Linked DNA regions of Sus scrofa. The protein of the gene in region 7 purifies or fractionates together with the protein of the main gene of each other region. This does not show direct contact. Links are inferred from orthologs where the notes say so. Each region holds a gene or a part of one and is shown on either strand. Other genes may lie near its edges. The genes, in order: POLR3D, POLR3F, POLR3K, CRCP, POLR3G, POLR1E and POLR1C.

What was found.
Region 1: the proteins of POLR1C (region 7) and POLR3D purify together in Homo sapiens (affinity purification with mass spectrometry; 6 studies listed by BioGRID and IntAct, counting the BioPlex papers as one, with this or other methods). This does not show direct contact. The link is inferred for Sus scrofa from reciprocal best matches to the Homo sapiens genes POLR1C and POLR3D.
Region 2: the proteins of POLR1C (region 7) and POLR3F purify together in Homo sapiens (affinity purification with mass spectrometry; 4 studies listed by BioGRID and IntAct, counting the BioPlex papers as one, with this or other methods). This does not show direct contact. The link is inferred for Sus scrofa from reciprocal best matches to the Homo sapiens genes POLR1C and POLR3F.
Region 3: the proteins of POLR1C (region 7) and POLR3K purify together in Homo sapiens (affinity purification with mass spectrometry; 4 studies listed by BioGRID and IntAct, counting the BioPlex papers as one, with this or other methods). This does not show direct contact. The link is inferred for Sus scrofa from reciprocal best matches to the Homo sapiens genes POLR1C and POLR3K.
Region 4: the proteins of POLR1C (region 7) and CRCP purify together in Homo sapiens (affinity purification with mass spectrometry; 5 studies listed by BioGRID and IntAct, counting the BioPlex papers as one, with this or other methods). This does not show direct contact. The link is inferred for Sus scrofa from reciprocal best matches to the Homo sapiens genes POLR1C and CRCP.
Region 5: the proteins of POLR1C (region 7) and POLR3G purify together in Homo sapiens (affinity purification with mass spectrometry; 4 studies listed by BioGRID and IntAct, counting the BioPlex papers as one, with this or other methods). This does not show direct contact. The link is inferred for Sus scrofa from reciprocal best matches to the Homo sapiens genes POLR1C and POLR3G.
Region 6: the proteins of POLR1C (region 7) and POLR1E purify together in Homo sapiens (affinity purification with mass spectrometry; 5 studies listed by BioGRID and IntAct, counting the BioPlex papers as one, with this or other methods). This does not show direct contact. The link is inferred for Sus scrofa from reciprocal best matches to the Homo sapiens genes POLR1C and POLR1E.

Annotation. Positions count from the first base shown.
Region 1 is NC_010456.5:6,524,013-6,527,019, forward strand, and holds part of POLR3D (DNA-directed RNA polymerase III subunit RPC4), read left to right. Parts: intron 1-235; coding exon 236-770; intron 771-1,250; coding exon 1,251-1,419; intron 1,420-1,764; coding exon 1,765-2,030; intron 2,031-2,749; coding exon 2,750-2,902; intron 2,903-3,007. UniProt on the Homo sapiens protein: DNA-dependent RNA polymerase catalyzes the transcription of DNA into RNA using the four ribonucleoside triphosphates as substrates.
Region 2 is NC_010459.5:26,732,839-26,736,338, forward strand, and holds part of POLR3F (DNA-directed RNA polymerase III subunit RPC6), read left to right. Parts: intron 1-323; coding exon 324-467; intron 468-687; coding exon 688-795; intron 796-1,784; coding exon 1,785-1,976; intron 1,977-3,500. UniProt on the Homo sapiens protein: DNA-dependent RNA polymerase catalyzes the transcription of DNA into RNA using the four ribonucleoside triphosphates as substrates.
Region 3 is NC_010445.4:41,570,252-41,574,528, forward strand, and holds the start of POLR3K (DNA-directed RNA polymerase III subunit RPC10), read left to right. Parts: upstream 1-1,477; 5' UTR 1,478-1,521; coding exon 1,522-1,710; intron 1,711-3,072; coding exon 3,073-3,160; intron 3,161-3,794; coding exon 3,795-3,922; 3' UTR 3,923-4,277. UniProt on the Homo sapiens protein: Core component of RNA polymerase III (Pol III) which synthesizes small non-coding RNAs using the four ribonucleoside triphosphates as substrates. Can mediate Pol I proofreading of the nascent RNA transcript.
Region 4 is NC_010445.4:16,584,006-16,587,505, reverse strand, and holds the end of CRCP (DNA-directed RNA polymerase III subunit RPC9), read left to right. Parts: intron 1-1,145; coding exon 1,146-1,295; 3' UTR 1,296-3,202; downstream 3,203-3,500. UniProt on the Homo sapiens protein: DNA-dependent RNA polymerase catalyzes the transcription of DNA into RNA using the four ribonucleoside triphosphates as substrates.
Region 5 is NC_010444.4:97,661,756-97,665,255, forward strand, and holds part of POLR3G (DNA-directed RNA polymerase III subunit RPC7), read left to right. Parts: intron 1-30; coding exon 31-160; intron 161-3,500. UniProt on the Homo sapiens protein: DNA-dependent RNA polymerase catalyzes the transcription of DNA into RNA using the four ribonucleoside triphosphates as substrates.
Region 6 is NC_010443.5:238,196,466-238,200,458, forward strand, and holds the start of POLR1E (DNA-directed RNA polymerase I subunit RPA49), read left to right. Parts: upstream 1-1,193; 5' UTR 1,194-1,282; coding exon 1,283-1,358; intron 1,359-2,220; coding exon 2,221-2,324; intron 2,325-3,490; coding exon 3,491-3,567; intron 3,568-3,993. UniProt on the Homo sapiens protein: Component of RNA polymerase I (Pol I), a DNA-dependent RNA polymerase which synthesizes ribosomal RNA precursors using the four ribonucleoside triphosphates as substrates.
Region 7 is NC_010449.5:38,510,207-38,514,320, reverse strand, and holds the start of POLR1C (DNA-directed RNA polymerases I and III subunit RPAC1), read right to left. Parts: upstream 2,801-4,114; 5' UTR 2,737-2,800; coding exon 2,653-2,736; exon of another isoform or gene 2,581-2,652; coding exon of another isoform or gene 2,548-2,580; intron 2,527-2,547; coding exon 2,455-2,526; intron 1-2,454. Other genes in the region: protein YIPF3, read left to right, coding at 3,033-3,113, 3,708-3,905, 4,097-4,114. UniProt on the Homo sapiens protein: DNA-dependent RNA polymerase catalyzes the transcription of DNA into RNA using the four ribonucleoside triphosphates as substrates.

The DNA.
Region 1 (3,007 bases), on a different chromosome or scaffold from region 7:
AGTTCTAATACGTGATCTCGAACAAAAAGGTAAAGCAACGGTAAACTGAAAGGACTTCACCTCATCAAGCAAGTGAAAAGATGCTCGACTTAGGATTGGGGGTTCTGCTTCTCATGATGTACTTGTTGGCTCATTAAATTCTCCATACAGTTGGAACGGAGTGGTGTGGGAAAGTAAGACCAGTTCTCGGAGGCAGGGAAGTGAGTGGTTTTATTTTGCCCCTTCTCTTTTCCAGGCCCAAGGAAGAAGTAGCAGTCAAGAAGGAAAAGCGTGAAAGGGATAGAGACCGACAGCGAGAGGGCCATGGAAGGGGCCGGGGGCGCCCAGAAGTGATCCAGTCCCACTCCATCTTTGAGCAGGGCCCAGCTGAAATGATGAAGAAGAAGGGTACAAAGCTGCCGGGGCTCTGGGAGGAAGGAATCAGTGGCTTTCAGGTCCAGCTGCCCACGAGGAGGGCAAGGGCAGTGGCATTCCCCTGCTTGCTCCCAGTTAGCTCTCCTTGCTGTTGGCCTCTTCTTTACTTCTTGCATCATTTCCCACAGGGAACTGGGATAAGACCGTGGACATGTTGGCCTTGCTGTTGGCATGTTGGACATGCCTCCTTGCTGTTGGCCCCTTCTTTACTACTTGCGTCATTTCCCACAGGGAACTGGGATAAGACCGTGGACATGTCAGACATTGGGCCCTCTCACATCATCAACATCAAAAAGGAGAAGAGGGAGACGGACGAAGAAACAAAACAGATCCTGCGTATGCTGGAGAAGGATGATGTAGGTACCATCAGGCTAGGGGGAAGGGGCTTCTGGGGAGCCAGGTCGGGGAGAAGAGAGCTCTGATGTCCTGAAAGCCCCGTGAGTAGCAGGAATCTTCAATTAGGAAAAGGCTAAGGTGGGGAGTTCTCAGTCGTGGCTTAGTGGTTAGTGAACCCGGATAGCATCATGAGGACATGGATTGGTCCCTGGCCTTGCTCAGTGGGTTAAGGATCCAACATTGCCATGAGCTGTGATGTAGGTTGCAAATGCAGCTCAGATCTTGCGTTGCTGTGGCTGTGGTGTAGGCCTCGGCTACAGTTCCGATTGGACCGCTAGCCTGGGAACCTCCATATACCACAAGTGTGGCCCTAAAAGGCAAAAAGACCCCCCCCCCAAAAAAAAGGCTAAGGTGGGGGAAAAAAGGGGCGAACGTGGACTGCACTCCAGGCAAATGTGTTTGCGGGCCTGGCTGTGTGACCCTTGGCTCCTCTTTGACAGTTCATCGATGACCCTGGCCTAAGGAATGACACTCGAAATACACCTGTGCAACTGCCACTGGCTCACTCAGGCTGGCTTTTTAAGGAAGAGGATGAAGAAGCAGATGTTAAACCCTGGCTTCCTGGCCACAAGGAAGAGGACATGGATGTGGACGGGCCTGCTGTGAAAGGTACTCTGTGTCAGTTAATGTCTCCTTTCCTTTTCTGTGCCTGCCCCACCCCCTCTCTGGGAATGAGCCTCCCAGACCAACTCATAAGGCAGTCCAGCCGTCAATACAGGACCTGGCCACGGGCACTAAATTCTCACTCTCAGCAGGTTCCTGGCAACAGGAGTTGGTGGGCCCAGCCTCAGATACCTCTTTTTATGTAACTCCTGGATCCTTCTCTGTAAACAGAGTTTCCTTCCAGCTTCCTGGCTGAATGACAGTGGAGCAGACCGAGGCGAAGGGGTGGGTGCAGTGAGATCATGGGTGATGGCCACTTGATAGCACTTCCATTTCTGTTGTCTTGGGCAGTGAAAGAAGAACCACGAGATGAGGAGGAGGAGACCAAGGTGAAGGCTCCTCCCAGAGCCACCCGGAAGACCCCGAGCCTACCGAAGGACGTGTCTGTGGCAGAGCTGCTCAGGGAGCTGAGCCTCACACAGGAGGAAGAGCTGCTGTTCCTGCAGCTGCCAGACTCGCTCCCTGGCCAGCCACCCACTCAGGACATCAAGCCTGTCAAGACGGAGGTGCAGGGCGAGGATGGCCAGATGGTGGTTATAAAGCAGGAGAAAGACCGGGTATGCTCGGGAATGAGTTCTGTGAAGATGCGGGGGCACTGAGAGGGGACACAACCACCCTTAGGGGAAGCAAAGGTGTGCCTCCTGTCCTGAAATGGGAGAACAGTATGCATTTGTTCTTTCTGCATGTAGGGGCCTTGGGGCTTTGCACTTCAACCCCAATTGTATGTGTTTCCTTTTCACAATGGAATATTTTGAACATACACAAATGAGAGAACGTAAATTCTTGTGTACTATCACCCAGCTGCAGCAGTTGCTGGTATTTTGCTCCTTTGCTGGTGTTTGCTGTGGGTGGGGTTTGGTTTTTTGACCAATGGCAGGCAGCTCCAGGAAAAGGCCCTCTTTGGGGAGCTCCCCCCCCCTTTTTTTGTCTTTTTAGGGCCACATCCGCAGCATATGGAGGTTCCCAGGCTAGGGGTTGAATCGGAACTGTAGCTGCCAGTCTAGCCACAGCCACGCCAGATCCAAGCCATGTCTGTGACCTATATACCACAGCTTACGGCAAAGGCAGATCCTTAACCCACTGAGTGAGGCCAGGGATTGAACCTGCATCCTCATGGATACCAGTGAGATTCATTTCCGCTGTGTTATGACAGGAACTCCCTGGGGAGCTCCTTCTCACCTTTGCTGCTGCTGCCTTCCTGTAGGAAAGGGTTCATTATTGAAGGATGGAAGAGACGGCTCCTTACCTGGTTTCCATCCCCTGGTTGTCTTCATAGGAAGCCCGCCTGGCAGAGAACACCTGTACCCTGGCTGACCTGACAGAGGGCCAGGTTGGCAAGCTGCTCATCCGCAAGTCAGGGAAGGTGCAGCTCCTCCTGGGCAAGGTGACTCTGGACGTGACGATGGGAACCGCCTGCTCTTTCCTGCAGGTGAGGGCCCGCCAGGTCTCTCTGAGGCTCTTTAAGACATTGAGGATGGTTAAGGAATTGGTGTGGAACATGGGGAGGAAGGGAAGTGTTCAAATCATAGGGCTG
Region 2 (3,500 bases), on a different chromosome or scaffold from region 7:
ATGTAGTGTTCTGGATAGCATCGTGGACCATAGAAAGGACATTAGGGAAAAACTAAGGAAATCTCAATAAAATATAGACCTAAGAGTTAGTACTGACATATTAATATTGGTTCATTAATTGTAACAAATGTACTCTAGTAATGTCAGATGTTGCTAATAGGGGAAGCTGAGCACAAGGTCAGTGGGCAGTCTGTACCATCTTTGCAATAATTCTGTAAGCCCAAAACTGTTCTGAAATATAAAGTTTGGAAGGCTTTGAAGTCTTAGTTTTGGAAGCCTGTGTTGTTACCTCTGAACCATCTGCTCTGCATGTTTTTTCCTAGGCCTCTAAAAAGAAGGTGTATATGCTCTATAACCTGCAGCCGGACCGGTCTGTGACTGGAGGAGCCTGGTACAGTGACCAGGATTTTGAATCTGAATTTGTAGAAGTGCTTAACCAACAGTGTTTCAAATTCTTGCAAACCAAGGTGAGGCATAACTGAGATCACATGATCACTGTAGTTTTTTTTTTTTTTAAGTTTCTTCACAAGAAATGTTTAATCTTGTACATCATATTTTGTTTCAATTGAAAATATTGAGATTGTTCTTTTTCACTGAACAAAATACATTCTGTTGCTTTCACTCTATATAAACTGTATTTAGAAAACACCAGAATTCTTCCTGAAATTTATGTTTCTATCTTTATAGGCAGAAACGGCAAGAGAAAGCAAACAGAATCCCGTTATCCAAAGAAATAGTTCTTTTGCTTCATCACATGAAGTGTGGAAGTATATCTGTGAGTTGGGGATCAGTAAGGTCAGAACTCAGTTTCTAATTTTATCTTGTTCTTAAAAACTTATTCTTCAGGAGTTCCCGTCATGGTGCAGTGGATAACAAATCTGACTAGGAACCATGAGGTTGCGGGTTCGATCCCTGGCCTTGCTCAGTGGGTTAAGGATCCGGCATTGCTGTGGGCTTTGGTGTAGGTTGCAGATGCGGCTCAGATCCTGCGTTGCTGTGGCTCTGGCGTAGGCCGGTGGCTACAGCTCCAATTGGACACCTAACCTGGGAACCTCCATATGCCGTGGGAGCAGCCCTAGAAAAGGCAAAAAGACCAAAAACAAAATACTTATTCTTCATCACAGGGATATAGTTTACAGTATATTCCAGACACACCTGACACAGACCCTTTTTTCAGGTGATACCTGTGTATATTCTGCAGAACCCATTTTGAGAAAGTACCATTCTAAGCCAGTTAGGCAAAGGCGGTCATTGCCATCGGGCACTTGGTGAACTGTATGTGCTTGAGCCTGGGATACAGGGTAGCAGAGTGGAGGCCTGACAGTTCGTTTCACTGCCAGATTCAAGTCTGTTCTGGCAAGTCTGTGACTCTCTGGGGGACATTTCAACATATGTGCCAAACATCAGTCATCGTATCAGTTGTCACTAATTGGTATTTTCCTCCTTATGAGATGCAAGTGGTGGTGTCAGCACACTCTTCTGAACATCCATACATATGGACAACATCAGAGAAGAAACTGAAGCAGTCACTTGGACAAGTCATTTTCATTTCCTGGGTTGCAGATGTTTCTTTCACAAAAAACCAGGAATTTGGACTATTTGATACTCAACCATTTTATAACTCTCCATCAAATTCTTGCCAAAGAAATGTTACGAGATGTCTGGATCTTACTTAGGAGCGTGAAGATGTCAACAAATGTCAAGCTCAGCATGAGCTCAGTTAACCACCCTCCAGAAGGGTGTCTCCTTGTCCTTGGGTCCTTTCTAACATGTCCCTTTTTTAGGTAGAGTTGTCCATGGAGGATATTGAGACCATCTTGAATACGCTCATTTATGATGGGAAAGTGGAGATGACCATCATTGCTGCAAAAGAAGGCACTGTTGGCAGTGTGGACGGGCACATGAAACTATACAGGGCAGTCAACCCAATCATCTCTCCCACGGGATTGGTCCGGGCCCCCTGTGGACTCTGCCCGGTGAGTTCAAGTGGCATCACTGTACACTTCACTGCCACCAAGTGCAAAGCTGCATAACGTACCAGCAAGCACACCCTAGTTTTCTCAAACCTAGGGTTGAACCAGTGCTGCTGAAGCCTCCATGTAACCTTGAGGACAGGCCTTTAATGAGCAAATGATCACCATACATTCTTAGAACAACCAGGTTAAAGAAATTTGTTTTCTGTTCTTGGTCCCAAAATGGACATTTTTTTTGTTTTGTTTCGTTTGGTTTTGGTTTTGGTTTTTTGGTTTTTTTACTTCTTATTTTTTTTTATTACTCAAATGAATTTATCACATCTATAGTTGTATAATGATCATCACACAAAATGGACAATTTTTTGATGGGAGCAAATCATTTAACCTATGTAGGGAGGGAACTGAGATTTATTGAGAACCTGTCATGGGCCAGACATGTTCGTGAAGGTCTCTGTGGTCTCATTTAACCCTCAGGTCCCTCACAGCTGGCAGTGTCATTTCCCTTTAAGCATGAGGGAACTTAGGCTAAGGGCGCTCTGAGAGCATACAGCTCAGACACAGCAGCCAGGACTCACAGCTAGAAGTGATGTGCTTTCCTGAGGCCTGGCCCACCCACGTTTTCATTTGTTCCTTCCCAGAGAGCTCCTGAGCACCACCCGTGTGCTGCAGGCACTGTCCCAGCCCTCATGGCATTTATATCCTTGGCCTGCTGGCCTGTGTTTTATGATCTACACGCCTAAGCTCTCTATGCCCTGGTTTCAGCTCTCATAAAAATGGCTAACCTGTTGGGAATTCCATTTATCACCTTTCACACAAAGAAGGTAGCTAAACAGGGGGTGTTTGGTCAGTTAAGTCATTTGTGTGTATAGATCTCCCTTCCTGGGCTCTTGTTACCTGCCAGCACCCCAGTGGGCAAATGAACGTGGTTATCTTTATGTGTGTTGTCTTTTTTTTTTTTTTTTTTTTTGTCTTTTAGGGCCGCACCCGAGGCACATGGAGGTTCCCAGGCTAGGGGTCTAATCAGAGGGGTCTAACCACAGCCATAGCAACATAGGATCCAAGCTGCGTCTGAGACCTGCATCACAGCTCATGGCAACGCCAGATCCTTAACCCACCAAGTGAGGCCAGGATCGAACCTGTGTCCTCATGAATGCCAGTCAGGTTCACTAACCGCTGAGCCATGAGGGGAACTCCTTGTGTGTCTTTTTAGGGCTGCGGCTGTGGCATATGGAGGTTCCCAGGCTAGGGGTTGAATCGGAGCTGTAGCTGCTGGCCTATGCCACAGCCACACAAGATCCTTAACCCACTGAGCAAGGCCAGGGATCGAACCTGTGACCTCATGGATGCTAGTCAGATTTGTTTCCACTGAGCCACACAGGAACTCCAAACATGGTTATCTTAATGCTAAAGTGAAAGGTCTCTCACTGACTGATCACAAAGCAAGTCGTGTTTCAGTATGTTCTTACATACAGTCCTAATAAAACCTCTTTCAATTTGAAAGTTTTGTTGTTAATATTGTTTTAAATA
Region 3 (4,277 bases), on a different chromosome or scaffold from region 7:
CCAGCCTGGGAGGGCTCCCCCTGCCCCCAAAAAAACCCTCAGGCCCTGGGGCCCCAGGCAAGGCTGGGGCAGGGGTGCAACATTTACCGGGGCAACAGAAGACGAATACCACTATCAAGAAAACAAACTAATTTAACATTTTCATGATGGGCAAAATACAAAGATTTAAAAACAGGAGTGTGCCAGGTCATACTGAAGCCTGAGGAGAATGGAGAAATCTTTATTATTTTTCATTTTTTTGGTTTTTTAGGGCTGCACTGGCGGCATATGAAGGTTCCAAGGCTAGGGGTCTAATCGGAGCTGTAGCCACTAGCCTACACCACAGTTCACAGCAACGCCAGATCCTTCACCCACTGAGCAAGGCCAGGGAGGGGTCGAACCTGCAACTTCATGGTTCCTAGTCGGATTCGTTAACCACTGAGCCATGATGGGAACTCCAGAAATCTTTAATACTGGTCTTTTTATCTGACATGATATCATTTTGTTTACCCTAGGTCTTTATAAACCAATGTTGAGTTTTAAAAACACTGTACTGGAGTTTCCATCCCTGGCCCCACTCAGTGGGTCAAGGATCCTGCGTTGCCCATGAGCTGTGTTGAAGGTCGCAGATGCCGCTCTGGATCCTGAGTTGCTGTGGCTGTGGTGTAGGCCAGCGGATTCCAGCCCTAGCCTGGGAATTTCCATATGCCCCAGGTGCGGCCCTAAAAAGACAAAAACAAAAAGCCGAAACAACAAAAAACCTCCTAAACCAACCAAAACACTATACTGAAATGTCATGTGTCCTGACTAGCGGGTTTTTGGCGCTCCTTTTTTATTTTTTTTTTGGCCATGCCCGCAGCATGCGAGAGTTCCTCTGCCAGTCGAACGCACGCCCAGCAGCACCCGAGCCACAGCAGTGACAATGGCGGAGTTCTTAACCGCTAGACTACCAGGGAACCCTTCGTAAATGCCGCGCCGGAGACCAGTGCCTCGCTCGCCTCCCAGGCCCAGTCGGAGCCTAGACCCTCGTTTACGCCCTGAGGCCGCTTCTGGAGGTCTCCGGGCCGCTGCCATCATCGGTACCCCAGAATCGGTCCTCTCCCTGACGCTGGGCTCCGGAGCGGGGGAAGAGGCCCCGACCCATGCGCACCTGGATCGGAAGGTCGCAGAGCAGCGGGTCCTGCACCACCATGGCCAGACCCTCTTGGAAAACGTCCACCGCCTCGGAGTGCGGCAGTGCCTCTTCCTCATCCTCCTCGTCCTCCTGCGGCTCTGGCCGTCCCGAGGCCCCCGCCACCTCCAGGGCGCCTCGCAGCCCGCGGGTTCCGCCCCCACACCGCCTCTCGCGACCCGGGCCCGGGATTCCCGGGCTTCCCGCGGGGAAAGCCACCCACGGCCCGGCCTTTGGTCGAGGGGCGGGGCTACCGCCAGGACCAATGAGAAATGATGCTTTGGGAGCCAGCCTGCCGCAGTGCACACTGGGAGTGCGGAGCCGACGTGCCTACTGGTGGGCTGATTGCTGAGAGGCGGCCGCCGGGACCAATGGGGAGTTCGGGGCGCCCGGAAGCCCCCGGAGTCCACGGCCAGGGAGCTGCAGGGAGCGTAGGCTGGGCTGTCGTGATGCTGCTCTTCTGCCCAGGCTGCGGGAACGGGCTGATTGTGGAGGAGGGTCAGCGCTGCCACCGCTTCGCCTGCAACACCTGCCCCTATGTGCACAACATCACCCGCAAGGTGGGTCCGCGCCGGCCTCCCGGCACGCAGGGCCGCAGCCGTCGTTCTCGCGGAGCGCGCCAGGCCCTGACCCTCACCTCCCCTAGCTCCGTCCTCTGCTTGGGTTTCGCGTCCCAGCAGCCTCTTGCCCGCACCGCCAGCCTCTCGGAGGCGCCCCGGTCTTGCCCAAGGCGCTGCTTCCAGGGTCTGTGCAGGAGTTTTCTGTTCTAGTCGCTCTTCCCCTAGGGACTCACTCGTTCCTGTCACTCCTGCCTGTATTTACCTAAGGGATTGTTTATATAAATGCGGCCTTTCCGTTCCCTAGTTTTATTTTTCATATAGGGCTCACTGCCTTCCAGTATACTTTCTTTTCTTTCTTTCTTTTTGTTTGTTTAGTTTTTGTTTTGGCCGCGCCCCCGGCACCCTGGCATGCACAAGTTCCTTGTGCTGGGGACGTGGCTCGGATCGTCATTGTCGAAAAATGAGGCACGTGAACACGGGGAGATCTCGACAAGGCTCTTTACTGCTGCAGAAGGGCGCTGGGCACCCCAAAAAGTGCGCGTGCCCCGAACAAAGGACCCTCCCCTGTTTATCCCTAACACAGGGGATGTACCCTGTCCCCTTCCCGTGGGTCAGGTCAGGGTGCACGTTCTTCCCAGTTGGCTAATTTGAAACAAACTGTTACTGGGAGAAGAGGGAAGGGGGGGGGGTTGCAGGAAGGCATTTCAGCAAAATGGAGTCACCAAGATTTCTTTTGCTTATGTCGCTTTCCACACCTGCAAACCTGCACCACAGCAGCGACAGAACCGGGACAGAACCAGGGCGGTAACCCGCTGAGCCAGCAGGGAACTCCCAAGTGCTACTTTCTCCTTAGTATTTGTATAGATTTGTATAGTGTCCTGCCATGTGGCCGTGTTGTGGGAGTTTAGGGTCTGAAACGACGCGGAGGGTGGACTCTTACCTACCCCGACAGGTCAAGGACGGCTGGTAGAACCTGGCAAGTGCTTAGAAAGCTCTGCCCGGAGCCTGGGGGGGGGGGGCGGCTCCCCGGCTGAGATTGCCCTTCTTTGGCCTCAGTTCTCTGGGGCCTCGTCTCGGGCTACCCAGCCTTAGGGGGTGTGGGAGAAGAGGAGGGCCATACCCGAGCCATGCTTCTCTTGCTCCTCTTGCTTTGTCCAGTCCTTGCAGAGACCTTCTCTTGGGGCAGTCCAATCATGGGTCCTCTAAGTTCTGATGGAGCAGGGCCTCTGCCTGTCCAGTACCCCTCCCGTCCGGGTTGAAGGGTGGAAGAAGCCAGACACCTGCGGGCAGGTGTGGTTAGGTGATCCTGGGGTGTGCGGTTCAGTCAGTTGGAGAGACTGAAGAGTGGCTGTTGTTTGTTAGGTAACGAATCGGAAGTACCCAAAGCTGAAAGAAGTGGATGACGTGCTTGGTGGAGCAGCTGCCTGGGAGAACGTCGACTCCACCGCAGGTGAGAGGGAGAGGCCTGTTCCCGGGCAGAGCTGTGGATGGTACGGGGCTGCTGACTCTGCCCCTCCGTGGCAGTCTGCTTGTGCTTCTGCGAAGAGGAAGTCTATATTTTCTTCCTTAATAATTTCTTAGAAATTTTTATTTATTCATGTGGTGGTTTTTTTGGTTTGTTTGTTTTTTGCTTTTTAGGGCCCCACCCACGGCATATGGAGGTTCCCAGGCTAGGGGTCTAATCAGAGCTGCAGCCGCTGGCCTCCACCCCAGCCACAGCAAGGCCAGATCCTTTACCCACTGAGTGAGACCAGGGATTGAACCCACAACCTCATGGTTCCTAGTCGGATTCGTTTCCGCTGCGCCACAACAGGAACTCCTTCCTTGATACTTTCTTTGTTCCAAAACCAGTGTCGGCACAAGCTTTGGAGCTGTTCAGACCTGATTTCGAATCTTGAGGTGGCTTACTGCCTTATGACCGTGACCTTTCTGGGCTACCTCCACATGCCACAAGTTCCCCGGCCAGGGACTTGGTCCGCGCCGCAGCCGCAACCCAGGCCGCTGCAGTCGGATTCTTCAGCCTCTGTGCCACACTGGGCATCCTTTTTGAAGTAACCGTGGGTCCCTTGTTTTTCTCACGCCAGAGCCGTGTCCCAAGTGTGAGCATCCTCGGGCCTATTTCATGCAGCTCCAGACCCGCTCTGCCGACGAGCCCATGACCACCTTCTACAAGTGCTGCAATGCTCAGTGTGGACACCGCTGGAGGGACTAGGGCCGGGTGGCCCCGCTGCCCAGCATCTGCTCACCTCATTCCCCAGGGCGGATTCCCAGCTGGAAGGGAACTGCGGGTTCTGAGCATCTTTGCCGGTGTGGCAGAAAGCCAGCCTTCTCAGAGTGGCCCGGCCGGGGGGCCAGGAGATGGCCCCCATCGCCCAGGCAGTGGATGAATTTGCTGACGTCCAGGGAGAACTTGTGTTTGGGGGCAGTGGCCACACCAAGTGCGTCTTATTTAGGGTCCTGTTATCCATCTTTCCCGTTTAGTGGGCAGTGAGCTTTCTCTCGCCACCAGCTGACGCTCGTAAACATTTATTTATATGTTGGCACACCCAAGAAAATGGGGCTTTGAC
Region 4 (3,500 bases), on a different chromosome or scaffold from region 7:
GACTTCTTTAGCTTCTGTACTATTGTTTGTAAAGCTAGGCAGTCAAACTGAAGTCCTTTTTAGGATCATAAGCCTAGCTTGTCATCATGCTTTACTTAAATCTGCCAGGAATTCTTTCTGGAACGCCTTTTGATCTTAGTGGCCAGATTTCAGAGATTGTTAGGGGAAATGCCATAGGCTAGGACCCTGGACATCTTTAGCTGAGAAAGTGGTTTGTGATCGATGGCTCATGCCACCAAGTGAGTGTGGTTAGGTAACTTGACTGCCTGCAGGCTGCTTTTACAAAAGTGGTTGATTACATTATTTTTTTTGTTTGTTGACCTATTGAGAATTAGAGATGAGGCTAAGAAAACTGGCTTGTGATTGTGGATTTCATCATCTCTATGTTCGGCTGCCCAGGAGCACGTCAGAAACTGGGTTCGAAGCAGACCTTTGATGGGGTCGAGGGAGATTGTTTCCCAGCTGTCATTCACGGACTCCTGTTCTGCATTCTCCTGGCCAAGGCCATGCGGCCTGTGTTAGATTGTAGGTATTAGAGATGGGCAGGCCTGGCTTGGGATTCTGCCCTTTGCCAGGCTTGTCGTGAGGTTTAACAGAAATAATGAGCATGAAGTACTAGGTGCGACGCTGCACTGGGCACAGGAGCTCCCTAAAGGGCTGTTGTCAGCAGTGATAGTAGTGGGGATTAGCAAAAATATATAAAGCATTTGGCACATAGTGGGCGGTCATCCAGAGAGTTGTTGATACAGTTTATAAGTTACAGCTGTGTTGTTGTGAAATTACCAAAGTATATAAGATGCCACTTCGCTCCCCAGAGGTGGGTTTTCTTTGCATGTACAACATTCATGTGTGTATGTGGATGGGTAGAGAACTGTTAGGGATTGCTTTTTCTTTCAGGAAAAAATGTTAACCTGCAGCTTGCTTTTTTCACTGACCCTTGTGGAGCATTCACACTGGCTTACTCTGGAACTTGAGCTGGCTTCTCCCATTCATGAAGATGGAGGACCTGGACACCAGGGGTGGCTCAGGAGCCAGGCCCTGAGCCCCGGGCCTAGACCAGGAATAACATGGGTGAAGAGGGCGAGGCTGGGCCCCGCCATCGAGGCGTCTCTGTAACTCCTGGAGGGTTTTCTTTCCCTCTGCAGATGGTGGAGGAGAGCGAAGAACGGCTGACAGAGGAGCAGATCGAAGCTCTGCTCCACACCGTCACCAGCATCCTGCCTGCGGGGCCAGAGGCTGAGCAGAAGACACATACCAGCGATGACGTGACAATGGACGAAGAGGACCCGGCCTAGAAGAGCACCGTTGGCTCCAGGGTCTTGTGAAGTCGAAAGGCCCAGCAGCCATTTCCCAGACATTCAAAGGACTGTTTATTTGGTTTTACCTTCTGTCCCAACAGGCCTGATTTTGTGGCTGGTTTGGTAAACCACAAAAATAAGCCTTCCTCAGAAAGAAGCTAAAAAGAAATTCTTGTGCTTTGGAGAAGAAACCTGGTAAAGACAGGCTGAGGTAGTGGTCAGGGCAGAGAGCTAAAGAAAGGAGGACAGGGTCGAGGAGGACAAGGACGTGGAACCCCCTGTGGTAAAAATCCTTCCATGGTCTTTGGCGTGCTCGGGGCAAGGTCCTTGTGCATAGCTGGTGGAATACTTCCTTGTTGCCTTTGATGGGCTCTCGCCTAATTAATTCCATCTGCTTCCCTGGGCGGCTTCCCTGAAGGCCGCGGAGCACTGTTGGGATGAAAGCTGAGTTAGGAGAATCCCAGTAGAGGGCTAAAAACACGCAAAGCAGCAAATGGTTGCTCTGAGTTAAAATCAGCTACTGACCTTGGCTTACCTCAGAGGACTCCTTTCCTTGCGAGAAACAGAGATAAAGGAACAGCCTGGCCATCCCTTCCTCAGGCCCCTTTCCTCTGCTGGCGTGGGCCCTGTGAGCTGGCTCCCTAGTTAGTCCGAAGTGTTAGAGCGCCGGCTCCCTCCCGTTGAAAAGAGGCATCCAGGCCGAATGACCACGTCGCCTGCCTTTCTGCCCACCTTCGGTTTCCTGCCCCGTGACAGGCGCTGCTTGTTGAGGCCAGCAGGTGAGCTCCATGTGCACAATGGGTGCATTGTATCTTTTTAAAGGGCACAGTTAATGTCTCTCTTTTTGTGGACAGAATATGAAGAGGTAGAGGTTGATTAATAAGACTTTAATTTTGTTGGCTCTTGCAAGGTTGCATCAGTTTTTGAAAATTTAAAATGTTAGAATAATTACCATGTGAAGAACTTCTTAATGTTCATGCTTTGGAGAGTGTCGTAGCCCCAGACGTGTAGTTGCCCTTAGGTCCTAGGAATAGTGTTAAAAATTAATTCCCCCGTTCACTCTGCTCCCTATTTGGGGAAGAAAATGCCCATAGACATTAATTTTTCAAATTGGTACTCGTTTTGTTGTACGATTACATATTTTCCGTGCTTCTGTTAATTGGATTACTTCCCGCCTCTTGCTATTCCCAGGTTATTTCAGCCTCCCCACCACCCCTGCCAGCTGGCAGTTACGTTCATCTTAACCTTATCTTCTAAGGATGACTTGAGATCTGCTCACAGGCAATGTTGACATGAACAGGGCATTTATTTTTAAATCTTCTTCAAGTATCAGGAATTTTACCAGGAGCTATTGATTTGTCAAGACACGTATTTTGGTGCTCATGTCATTGTTGTTGCATTTTTGAGGTGCTTTTTTTCTTCATGGATTTAAGGCTTGATTAGTTGATGATAAATTGTTTCCAGGTGACTGCCAACTTGTGCTGTTTTTATCTTTCAAGAGTTTATTTTGCCTTGATTAGGAAAAAAAAGAAATCTGACTTAGAAAACATATATAAAATATATACATGTTAGTATTTTTCTTAAATTGAATCTATTTAGATCCGAGAATTTAGCCTCAGCTTCTGATTAGGTCAGACTTACTCTTTATAAGAAATATGGTCTGTGTAATATCCCCATCACATTAATAATCAATATTTCAGAAATAAAAAGTTGTAATTTACACAGGATCACATCTGGGAAGGAGAGCTGGGAGACTGGGAGACTTGCTTTTTTATTTTATATCCTTCTGTATGGTTTTAATGTTTGACCAGGTGATTGTTTTATTCTTTAAAAAGAAAAAATGTTTGTTTGCATGTTATCCTTGGTCTTTGTGAAAGTTAATAAATGCATTGTCCGTAGTTAAATTACGTTCCGAACGTGGAGGCTGACACCCAGTCCGGTCACTCTGGGAGACACAGCACTGAGGGGAGGTGATCTTTCGAGAAGGTGCTCCTGAGCTCTTGAAAAATGAAGTTGATTCCCAGTTAGTGGTTTATCCAGATAACCTCCTTGCCTCTTTTTGCTTCAGAGTTTTTGGATGACCCACTGCCAGCTCAGGGGACTTGCCATTTATTCAAGGTTCATTCCTGAAATAGTGGGTACCATTTTCCTAATCAGTTGTTGTGTAACCATATCAGCCCTCAAGAGTTTATACCCTAGTGA
Region 5 (3,500 bases), on a different chromosome or scaffold from region 7:
TTTTTAAAATTTGCCTCTTCATTTAAACAGGATACAGATTATAAACCAGTGCCACTGAAAACAGGAGAGGGTGAAGATTATGTACTGGCCTTAAAACAGGAGTTGAGAGAAACAATGAAAAGAATGCCTTATTTTGTAGAAACACCTGAAGAAAAACAAGGTGTGTATTGAACTCTTTGATTATGTGGTTCACTGTCTGCAGATGAAACAGAGTTTCAGTATAAGATGTATGATGTTTAATGCTGATTGATTTGATTCAGTCAGAAGTTATCAACTACATTGAGAAAGCATATTTAATGTTGATTTAACAGAAAATGTTTTTTAAACTTCTTGATATTTTATTTTTAAAATTACCTTTCACAATAGATGTTTTATGTGTTCAGTGAAACTTATGAAAAAAAAATACTAAGAAAGTAAAAAAAATTTTTTTTTTGTCTTTTTAGGGCCACACCCATGACATATGGAGGTTCCCAGGCTAGGGGTCGAATTGGAGCTGTAGCCGCCCGCCTTTGCCACAGCCACAGCAACAGCCACAGCAAAGCGGGATCTGAGCCACATCTGTGACCTTTACCACAGCTCATGACAACGCCAGATTCCTGACCCATTGAGAAAGGCCAGGGATTGAACGTGTGTCCTCATGGATGCTAGTCAGAATCTTTTCTGCTGAGCCATGACGGGAACTCAAAAGAAAGTAAAAATTATCTATACTCCTTATGTTTAGAGAACAACTTATTAATGTATTATTATATATTCTAGATTTTTCTTCTGTATGTATGTTCCTTTTACAAAATTGGATTCACATTGCTTTGTATTTTCCTTTTTCACTCAATAGCATATTATTAGCATTTAATAATAATAATAACACTAGGAAGACATTCCTAGTGTCTTGGAAAACATGATTTTTAATGGCTATGTGGTATTCCATTATGTGGATATAATGTTAATTGTAACTAGTTCCCTACTATTAGATTTAAGGTGGTTTCTAGTTTTTTGCTCATATATAATACTACGATTACTGCCCTTGTACATCACTTTTTAAGTGGTTCTCTGATTAAATTTTTGTTAAAAATTTTAAAAGCCTTGACCATATTTTGGCATACCATTCATATATGTGATGTAAAATACAAAATATGTATTAATTGGTTATGCCAAGGACAGAGAGGAAAAATTGCCGTTGGAGAAGTCTTAGCAGTCTCACTAGAAGTGGGAAGTAGTCTTAGAGGAAAGGAACCCATTCCTGAGTACTTAGCTCGGTTGAGTATTGATTTTCAGTTCCTGTCCTTGAATGTTGAAATTAGAGAGGTCGATATCATCCTTGAGCTCTCAAAACAACATCATTAAAACATGAGAAATTCATATCGTATCATCTCATTCCATTAGTATTAAAAATGCATACCATTTTCCCTCTCTCTAAAAGGCTTAGAATTGGATAAGAATCAAAAAGGAAGTCTTATGTAGTAATATTACCTGTGTTTATAATTCTAAGAAGCATTTTAGACAAGTTCATTTAATTTTTCAAAACATAGCTGCTTAAAGTTATATAATAAATGGTTAGATATTTTAACCTCAAAAGTACGGAATTTTTTTACTTTTAAGATTATGTTCTATGCTTTTATCTATTCGAGTTTGAAAATGAAATTAAAGCTTTAACTAATGATAAGTGAACTAAATAAATAATCACTATTACTGGAAAAAATAATAATGTAGGATATACTTTAGTCTTCTAAAAGTTAGTCTCTTCTCTAGACTATGGGATGTACTTACTTAACTAAATGTGGTTGTTATTAAAACTCATGTCTCATTTGAAAGTTTATCATACCATGAAAGCATTTATGTTGAGTCTTTCAGATTGGGACATTTAGAACATAATTTTGTTGCTTGTTTCTGGGAATAGCTGGTTTATACCTGGATCAAGAGGCTCTTTATCTTTGGTAACTGCATAATAAAATATTTAAAAATATAAGGTATCTTTTGGGAGTTCCTTTGTGGCTTAGCAGTTAACAAACCTGACTAGTATCCATGAGGATGCAGGTTCGATCCCTGGCCTCACTCAGTGGGTTAAGGATCCAGGGTTGCCATGAGCTGTGGTGAAGGTCACAGACACAGTTCAGATCCCGCATTGCTGTGGCTGTGGTGTAGGCCGGCAGCCATAGCTCCAATTTGACCCCTAGTTTGGAAACTTCCATATGCTGCTAGTGTGGCCCTAAAAAGCAAAATAAATAAATAAATAAATAAATAAATAAATAAATAAAGGAATCTTTTGCTACTGTTTCCTTCAGAGGAAAACTTGCATAGACTTTTCCAAATTGATACAAATAAATTCTCTTTGAATATACTCATGTTTATCTCTCTTTCCAAATGGAATGTAAACACGTTCTATTTATGATTGAAAATAAAGATTTTAAAGAAAAATACAATATATATGTATGAATACAGGTTAATATAATATATACTGTTAAGTATACACTGATGTAAAGAACTAAATCCCTAGAGACTTAGACAGTATGGTGGGAAGAGGTCTTGTCCTGATAACCTGGTGGCTGGTCGCTCAGGGCATTAAGGTGTGTTGCAAAGAACTGAGGGCACAAAATAAACATATTTCCTGTTGTGATGTCTTCAAGGTTTGTTTGTAGTGTTTTCAAGTAGAATTACAGCAGTGGTTGGTATTTTCTCTACAGTAAAATTTGTTATTTTTATAATAAAGAAAAAACATCAATGAATATTATTTTCTTAATGGATTTTAGCTGCAAAGGTACACAGAGAGCATCTGGTGCACTGGTTCCCAGCTCAGGTTCCTGAACCACTGGGGTCCTCTTAGTTAGAAACAGGAGTGACAATGGTGATGGTTCTGTAAGCCATTTTCAGCACTTCTAAAGCTTAGTGGAAATCATACATTTACCTCCATTATTACCACAAGATAGTATTTTTGAAAAAATGGAGTTTGGTGTATTAACTCTTAATATACTATAAAGGTCTATAAGATCTCATTTTAATTTTTGAATTTATTTTTGAGCGGTTCTTACTATATGTAATGATTGATGTTCATAGTTCTTATTTAGAAATCTTCCAAAGAACTAAGAGAATTTACTTTAAAACAAGAGGAAAACTCATTTTATCTTAGCATTACCATATTGGCCCAATGGAGTCTTTCATAAATCTAAAATATAGTTTGGAATCTTAGTGATCTTATTTTTCTTGCATCTTGAAATATTTTTTCTGTTTTATTAACAAAGACATTATTTCATCATTTTTTAAAATTATTCCCTACTATGTTGAAAAATGTAAGATAAAGACTAAAATAGAAAAAATGAAAGAATGGTGAAATTACATAGAAAGATCATGCCATTTTGAAATAAATCATTTCTATTACATTATCCTTTAATTTTCCTATTGTGTTGCCCAAAGTATTACATTAATTTTTAAGAAGATATAAAAGTCTGGAGAGACTCTTGTCTGTGTAGGTGTTTTGTTTTTGTTTTAGCTTTTGTAGAATATAATTT
Region 6 (3,993 bases), on a different chromosome or scaffold from region 7:
GAGAGCTCAGGTGTTATCTTTTTTTTTTTTTTTTTTTTGTCTTTTTGCCGTTTCTTGGGCCGCTCCAGTGGCATATGAAGGTTCCCAGGCTAGGGGTCTAATCGGAGTTGTAGCCACCGGCCTACGCCAGAGCCACAGCAACGCGGGATCCGAGCCGCGTCTGCAACCTACATCACAGCTCACGGCAACGCCGGATCCTTAACCCACTGAGCAAGGGCAGGGACGGAACCCGCAACCTCATGGTTCCTAGTCGGATTCGTTAACCACTGCGCCACGAAGGGAACTCCCAGGTGTTAATGTTTTTTAGATCATCTTGGAAGTACGTGCAGGGGGAGGGGAAGTCTCAAAAGAAGGCAATTTGGAAAACACAGATGAGTCAACCTGGTTCTTTCCCTTCAACAGTACCCTCCTTTGACTGAGAAAAACGGGTCCTAGCCTGGGCCCATGCTGAAAGATCTGCTTTAATCCTCCTTTTTGCCTAATAACTCCCCATGCGGTAGGGAGGGTTGAATCCGCGGGGACAAAGGACCATGCCTTCTGGTTCCCCCTTCTTGTCCACCCCAGAAGCTTTGAGTCTGCTGGGCCTCTCCCACTGGTCCATACTCTCAGAGTTGATTGAACCACAGGTGGTACTGTGCCAAGGTCCGAGAAGATGAGGTCATGTTACTGTTTACAGGATTGTGGATCACGTTTGGGCTTAAGGATTGATATCCAGGTGTGTGGATGGAGGTCCTGGAAAGCGGCCGGTCTCCGCCAGTCGCCACATTTAGTTAGCGTGCAAGGATTGCCTATCGAAAAATTCTAAATTTGAACTTGGACTTTCAGGCGTCAGTAAGACTTATTTGCCTCGGTGGTAGAGATAGACCATACCCTACCTAGACTCAGCCGCGAAGAAACCCGTCTATGCGCTAAAGCAAGACCTGAAGGTAGTGTGCTCCCTAGCGGCACACGACCTGTAAAGAGCAGGCCGAGTGCTGGGCCAATCACGTGTTGCGCCTTGCTGCGGAGGAAGGAGCGGGGCATAGGGAGCGCAGAGACCCCGCCTCTCCACGCGGAGGGGCGGGCGAAGAGTGAGAGGGGATGGCCCGCCTCAGAGCTCAGCGAGACAGCGCTTAGGGGCCGGGCCTGATGGGGGCGGAGCCACGCATCTCTGCGTGCGCAGGGCGGTGCCCGGAGAGGCCACGCCTCTTCCGCCCTGCCTTTTTTTTTTTTTTTTTTCCACCCGCGTGTACCTAGCGGACGCAGTTGTCTTAACTCCTGTGCTTGGCGGTAGAAGGGCGAGATGGCGGCGGAGGTGTTGCCGAGTGCAAGGTGGCTGTACTGTGGAGACCCCGAAGAGAGCCAGAGAGCTTTACTGGGTAAGGACTGCGGAGCCGGAGCAGAGCTCCCTGTAACTTCCTCCCTTTCTGTCTCGGTATCTACAGCCCTCGTCTTCCCTTACTGGTCCGTCCCCCTTCTCAGCTGGGCCAGATCCCTTCCAGGCTCTACTGCTACTTAGGGCTCGGCCAGGGTTCCTCTGTCATCTCACCGCGTTTCTGTCACCACCTTCCCGCTGAATGAGGCCTTACCAGTTACCCCTTCCCAGTACTCTAGACCCGGTCATCTCCTCACCCATCAAGTCTCAAACCTGCTCCATTTACTTTCCTCCATTGGGCAGAATTTTTCTTTATCTTTTTAGGTCTGGTCCAGGCCTCGTCAGTTAGTCCCATTTCCCCTAGTTATTCCCTCCCGTCGAAGCCCCTCTCTCCTCAGGCCTCCCCTTACCTTCCCATCCCCTCCCCATCCTCTTCCCACCTGGATCCGGATCTCCTTAAGCCCTCCTTTGGGGAGTTCCCATCATGGCTCAGTGGTTAACGAATCCGACTAGGAACCATGAGGTTGCGGGTTTGATTCCTGGCCTTGCTCATTGGGTTAAGGATCCGGCGTTGACGTGAGCTGTGGTGGTGGTCGGATCCCGCATTGCTGTGGTTCTGGCGTAGGCCGGTGGCTACTGCTCTGATTAGACCCCTAGCCTGGAAACCTCCATATGCCGCGAATTTGGCCCCAGAAAAGACAAAAAACAAACAAAAAACAAAAAAAAACCTCCTTTGGGCCAGGACCTGGGCCTCTTTGCCATCCCCATTCCTTCAGTCACTCCCTCTCATTGACTGTCTGTTTCCTCTGCATCATACTCTCTTGGTCCTTCTGCTCTCATGTCATTCCTGGGCTACAATCTTACAGTCCAGTTCTCCAATGGGAAGCTGCAGAATCCAGGCAACATGCGCTTCACCTTGTACAAGAGCAATGATTCCACAAACCCCAGGAAGAGGAGTCAGCGGATCCTGGTAAGTGCTGCAGTAGCTTGTTTTCTCCACTCTGCAGGCTTCAGGAGGCCCCTTGGGTGTGGAAGGGAGTGAGAGGAGAAAAGCAGGGGATAGCAGATTAGCCTTAAAGAACTTTGAGCCCCAGCAGGCTGGTGTGTGGGAGCAGGCTCCATTCAGTTTCACACTTATGGTGAAATGATAGCCCTTTATTCATTTGTTCATTCAGCAACCATCTATTGAACCCCCACTGTGGCTCTGGGCCGTAAGCAGCTAGGGAGACAACTAAGTCAGACATGGCCCCACCCGGAGGGAGCTCATAATCTAGAGCAGCATTTCTCAATCTCAGCACGACTGACCTTCTGACCCAGATAATTCTTTGTTGTGGGGACTGTTCTGCACATCCCTGGTGTTTAGCAGCTTCCCTGGTCTCTACCCAAATATACCTAGCACCTCCTCGTTGTGACAATAGCATGTCAGACATTCCCAGATGTCCCCATAGGGGTATTTCCCTGGGTTGAGAACCACTGATCTAGAGAAGTGAGAACTGGATGTAGGGGACACTTACACATAAGGAGACAAAGTTCAGGATTCCAGGGAGGGAGGGTACAGAGCAGGGCAAAGTGCGCTCTGCTTGCCAGAATGCCTTCTTGTGGCAGGATGCATTGGAGCCCTGAAGGATGGAGGAAGGTTTGACAGCTGAGGCTAATATTCCAAGTGAAGAGGACACCAAGGACAAACATGGGGAAGCAGGAAAACTTGGCTATGATTGAGGAGTATATTAGCCATTTCCATGGTCCTGGGAGCATGTAAGGAACAGTCATGGAAGAGGTGGCAAAGAGGTTCAAGAAGGGGTTAGACTTTGGGGTTGCCTGCAGGATCATTTTGTTGCATGCCTCTACGTGCTCAGCTACTCTCCCAAGCTCCACCAAGAACTTTCTGGCCTAGCTGGAAGCCAGCAATACCTGGGGCTTCCCTTTCAAAAATCCTTTTGCTTTTTCCCCAGGGACACCCAAAATTCACTTAAAGATAGTGGAGCTGGATCATCTCAAAGAGGCTCTCCCTGTTCTAATCTACTGTGGTTTGGAGTCTAAAGCTTCTGTATCTGAGGTTGCTCAGCTGTGGGAAGTCAAGATATTTATTATCTTTCAGCATTGGTTGTAATGGAACTTTCCCCCTCTCCATTTTAGGCAGCTGAAACAGACAGACTTTCCTATGTGGGAAACAATTTTGGGACTGGAGCCCTCAAATGCAACACTCTCTGCAGGTAGGGACAGGGTAAAGGGATTGCGGGGAGTAGAGGGTGGTGGCGGCAGCCCTGGCACTGCTCTTCTCTGCCTTTATTTTAGGGGCAATGGGGGAAATCTAGAGAGGTTTCTCAAGTTTCTGTGTTCCCAGACCCAGTGGCCTTCACACCAGCATGTAGACATTCCTGAAAATGAAAAGTGACTTAGATTTGTTTAATTTCCTAAAAATCTCATTTATTTACAATCTTGATGAGTTTTTTTAACTGAGAGCTAATTGACATATGACATTGGTTTCAGGTGTATAACAATGATTCAATATATGTACATATTGCAAAATGGCAACATGGTAAGTCTAGCTAACATCCATACTTAATTACAAAATTTTTTCAACCAGAAGTTTATACTTTTTGATCACCTTCATTAATTTTCACCACATCGTTAACTTA
Region 7 (4,114 bases):
CCCTGGCCTCAATCAGTGGATCAGGGATCCGGCATTGCTATGAGCTGTGGTGTAGACTGCTCGGATCCCAAGTTGCTGTGGCGGAGGCAGGCAGCTGTAGCTCTGAGAACAGCTGTAGCCTGGGAACTTCCATATGCTGAGGGTGAGGCCCTAAAAAGCACATAGAGAGGGAGGAAGTACATCTGCTTTAACTATTAAGGAACAAAATACATTCAAAGAATAGTACAAATATGCATTATGATTATTATCCTCTGAATTATTCTCCTGCCAACTTCCCCTTGCTAAAAGCAAAATGGACTTGGTCTGTTTTTCATTGGTATGATCACTTGCTAAACATCTTTACGCCAGGTTTAGGTCTTGAAAATGTTGCAGCTCATATTGAAACTTTAACAAAATTTACACAGGAGACTTTGAATGAAAGTCATTTTTTTAAAAAATAAAAAAAAAAAAGAAGGTAATGCTATTTCTTTACTCAACGATGAAATGACGTCAATGAGAAAAGCTATTCTACAAATCAGGATGGCCTCAGACATTATCACAACCTCCCAGAAAGGAACCTGTGCCATCATTAAGGTGGACTATGCTGGATGCTATTTCTATTTTATTTTATTTTTTGTCTTTTTTGCTATTTCTTGGGCCGCTCTCGCAGCATATGGAGGTTCCCAGGCTAGGGGTCTAATAGGAGCTGTAACTGCCAGCCTACACCACAGCCACAGCAACGCGGGATCCAAGCCGCATCTGTGACCTACACCACAGCTCATGGCAATGCCGGATCCTTAACCCACTGAGCAAGGCCAGGGATGGAACCCGCAACCTCATGGTTCCTAGTCAGATTCGTTAACCACTGCGCCACGATGGGAACTCCTGGATGCTATTTCTTTACCCAATGTTGAAATGACTTTAATGAGAAAAGCCATTCTACAAATCAGGATAGCCTTAGACATTATTACAGCCTCCCAGGAAGGAAACTGTGCCATCATTAAGGTGGAATCTTGTGCTTTTATTCTTGATGAATCTGCTAATGTATTTCAAGTGCTAAAACACAAACACAGATTGAGACCTTCAGTTGCCTTCTTCCAGATTTGGGAGGGCTTTTGGAGGAATGAAGGAATGGATCCCCAAAATCTTGGCTACAATCTCTTTTAATTGCTTACTGCTGCGTTTCTCTTGATTTCTTTAATAGATTTATCATCTGATGCGGAAGATCAACAGAAGCCACAAGGTTAACACTAACAAGCAGCATTGGCTTATTATTTTCCCAACAGAGGAGGGACAGGTGTTATGCTCCTTCTCTAGACAGACCTATGACCCATCTCAGGAGGAAGCAGCTAATGATCGGTCTCTCCCTATTTGCTCATTTAAGCATAATGGAGTAAAACAGCTGGAGGAAGGAATGATGGGGATAGAGTAGGATAATCACATAGTTTAGAAGTCCCACTAGGGTTTAAAGACAAAAAGGAAATGTTAAGGGGGTTTGAAGACTGCTGTAAGCCAACAACCGACCACTTAAGAATCCAGTAACTTAGCAACAATCTACACCACCTTGAAGGAAGACCAGGTGTATCTAAGCACCAGAAACAAGCCACAAGTCCTGATAGTTAAAACCCAAGACAAGAGATATGGGGTTTCAATCTTGTTACATGAAGTCAGAGTTATTGGTCCTTGAAGACTGGCATTGCTGCATGTAGACAAGGTGAAAGAGGGAAAAAACTAGGTGAAAGGGGAAATTATTCTGCAACCTGAAACGAATTACCACATTTTCGCATATGTTACCGCTTCTGCTAATATACCTATGATTTAAACAGCCCATGACACTCCCCCTTAGACCATATAGGGTCAAAGGAGGAACTGATGATGCAAGCCTGGACCATCTTACCCAAGAATGAGAAATAAGGTGGTCTTCTCCCCGCCCCACTTTCACCTTGATTATAAAAATGTAGCCCTCTTTGTTCTCTGGGTCGCACTCCCTTGCCTGCTCATTAGTATTTCTGACAAGCGTCCTATGCTAATAAATTCACTTATTGTGTATCGGTTTGCCTCACGCTGAATTCTTTTTCCCACGAGACAAAACCTGAGGCTCAGGAAGTCCTGACGATAGCAGGTGAGCGGTATCAATTAAGACAGTGGGTTTGAGTCCCCTCCTACGTCAGGGACCATGGGTTCAAGTTCCAATGGGGGTTTTGGCTGAGTTCGAGTCCCACCCGAAAGGGAGTGCAGCTTCAATCTTTATTGCTGTTAATCGCCCTTACCACAACTCACTAGAGTCGTGTTACCTGTACTCTTTTCCAAAAAGACCGAACCATCTCGTTAGCTTGTAGAACAAAGCAGAAATTGTGCACATCGAGTGCCTAACACATCCAGAGCGAACCCCCAAGGCAGTTTCCGAGGAACAGGATGTTCAGAGTGCAAGATCCGATCCTCATACCCTCTCTGAACACCTCCAGCTCTACCCACCTTCTCGAAGCGGTCCTGGTCCCAGGCATCATCATAGCCCGAATAGTTACCGGGAAAATCGGTAGTATGAACCTAGAGCAAAGAGAAACGAACCTGTTCGCGAAGGAGCAGCGAGGCCAAATTCATCCCCACTCCGACTCTAACTCATCCCTGCTCCGCTCTGATTTCTCCTCCCGAGGTCAAGTCCACAAGACTTACATTGCGAACCCCGAACTCCCCTAGAACCACGCGGCTCCGCATTTCCTCCACAGCCTGAGCCGCCGCCATCTTCAACTCCACCATGTGACTAGAGTACCAAGCCTGCGCGTGCGTTCTAGTCTCCCTGCCCCGTCTCCGTGGCAACACACCACCTCCCGGAATCCTAAATATCGCGAGAATCTGCCCCGCCTCCGTCCACGTCCTCAGATACCGGAAGTCAGTTTTAACCAAACATCCGGTTTTCTCCTTTTTGCGTTCCGGCCGATCCCACCTTTCTTTCTAGTCCCTGGACCTGTCCATCCGTCAGGCCCTCATCTCTCCCACTCCTCCTCAGCGCGCGGGACTAGCGCGGGCTTCAGCGACGGGAGCCCTCGAGGGACATGGCAACTCCGGCGGCGCCGGCCGGCGGCGCCCGAAATGGGGCTGGCCCGGAATGGGGAGGATTCGATGAAAACATCCAGGTAAGCGCCCCACGGCTCCGGCTGCCAGCAGCCCCACGGCCTGCAGCTGTCCTGAAGTGTCATGGGGACTCTTCCTTCGAGCCTTGGAAGTCTGCTCCGTTTGCAGAACTTTTTGTCTTCTTTGGGTCTTCGTGCACGTGAAAGGCAGTGGAACTAGTGCGGACCTAAAAGGTCCACACTAGTACCTCTGAGCCCCCTTGCTCTTGCTTTCCGCACAACTTAGAAGGTCGGGCACGGCCAGGGGCGAGGGTGGGATGGGGGGTAGGCGGGATTCACTGGCCAAAACCACACTGTGCGCGCAGCCTTGTTTTGGGGTGGAAAACACAAAGGAAATGGGCACTTTTGCAGCCTTTTGTGGCTTTGGTAGGAAAAGGACACGTATGGAAGACAGGGAGTAGGTTTCCCAGGCTGGAAAAGAGAGCCAAACAAAGGTTCTGAGAGCAGTTGAGGGGAGGGGAGTGGCATGGTCTATGGTAATTCTAAGCCGTATCTCCAGCAGTGAAAGGACAAAGCTCCAAGCTCTCCGGTGAACAGAGAAGGACATAACGGATGGAGCAGAAAGGTCCTCCACTGTGGGATCCGTTGTCTTCACAGGGTGGGGGCTCAGCTGTGATTGACATGGAGAACATGGATGATACTTCAGGTTCCAGCTTCGAGGATATGGGTGAGCTGCATCAGCGCCTGCGTGAGGAAGAAGTGGATGCTGATGCAGCTGCCGCTGAAGAAGAGGATGGGGAGTTTCTGGGCATGAAGGGCTTTAAGGGACAGCTGAGCCGGCAGGTGGCTGATCAGGTAAGCAAGACTGGCTCTCTGACAGGTGGAAAAGTATCCTGAGGCCTCTGGTTCTGAGTTGGTATTAGTGAAGTTCACCCCAGCTTGTCCAGTTAGAACCATGTAGAGATCCAACAAGAAATAAGCAAAAGGGCCTTAAAGCCAAGAGTCTCACGATACCCTCCCACCCCACCCGGTCTTCCTTGCTTCAGATGTGGCAGGCGGGGAAG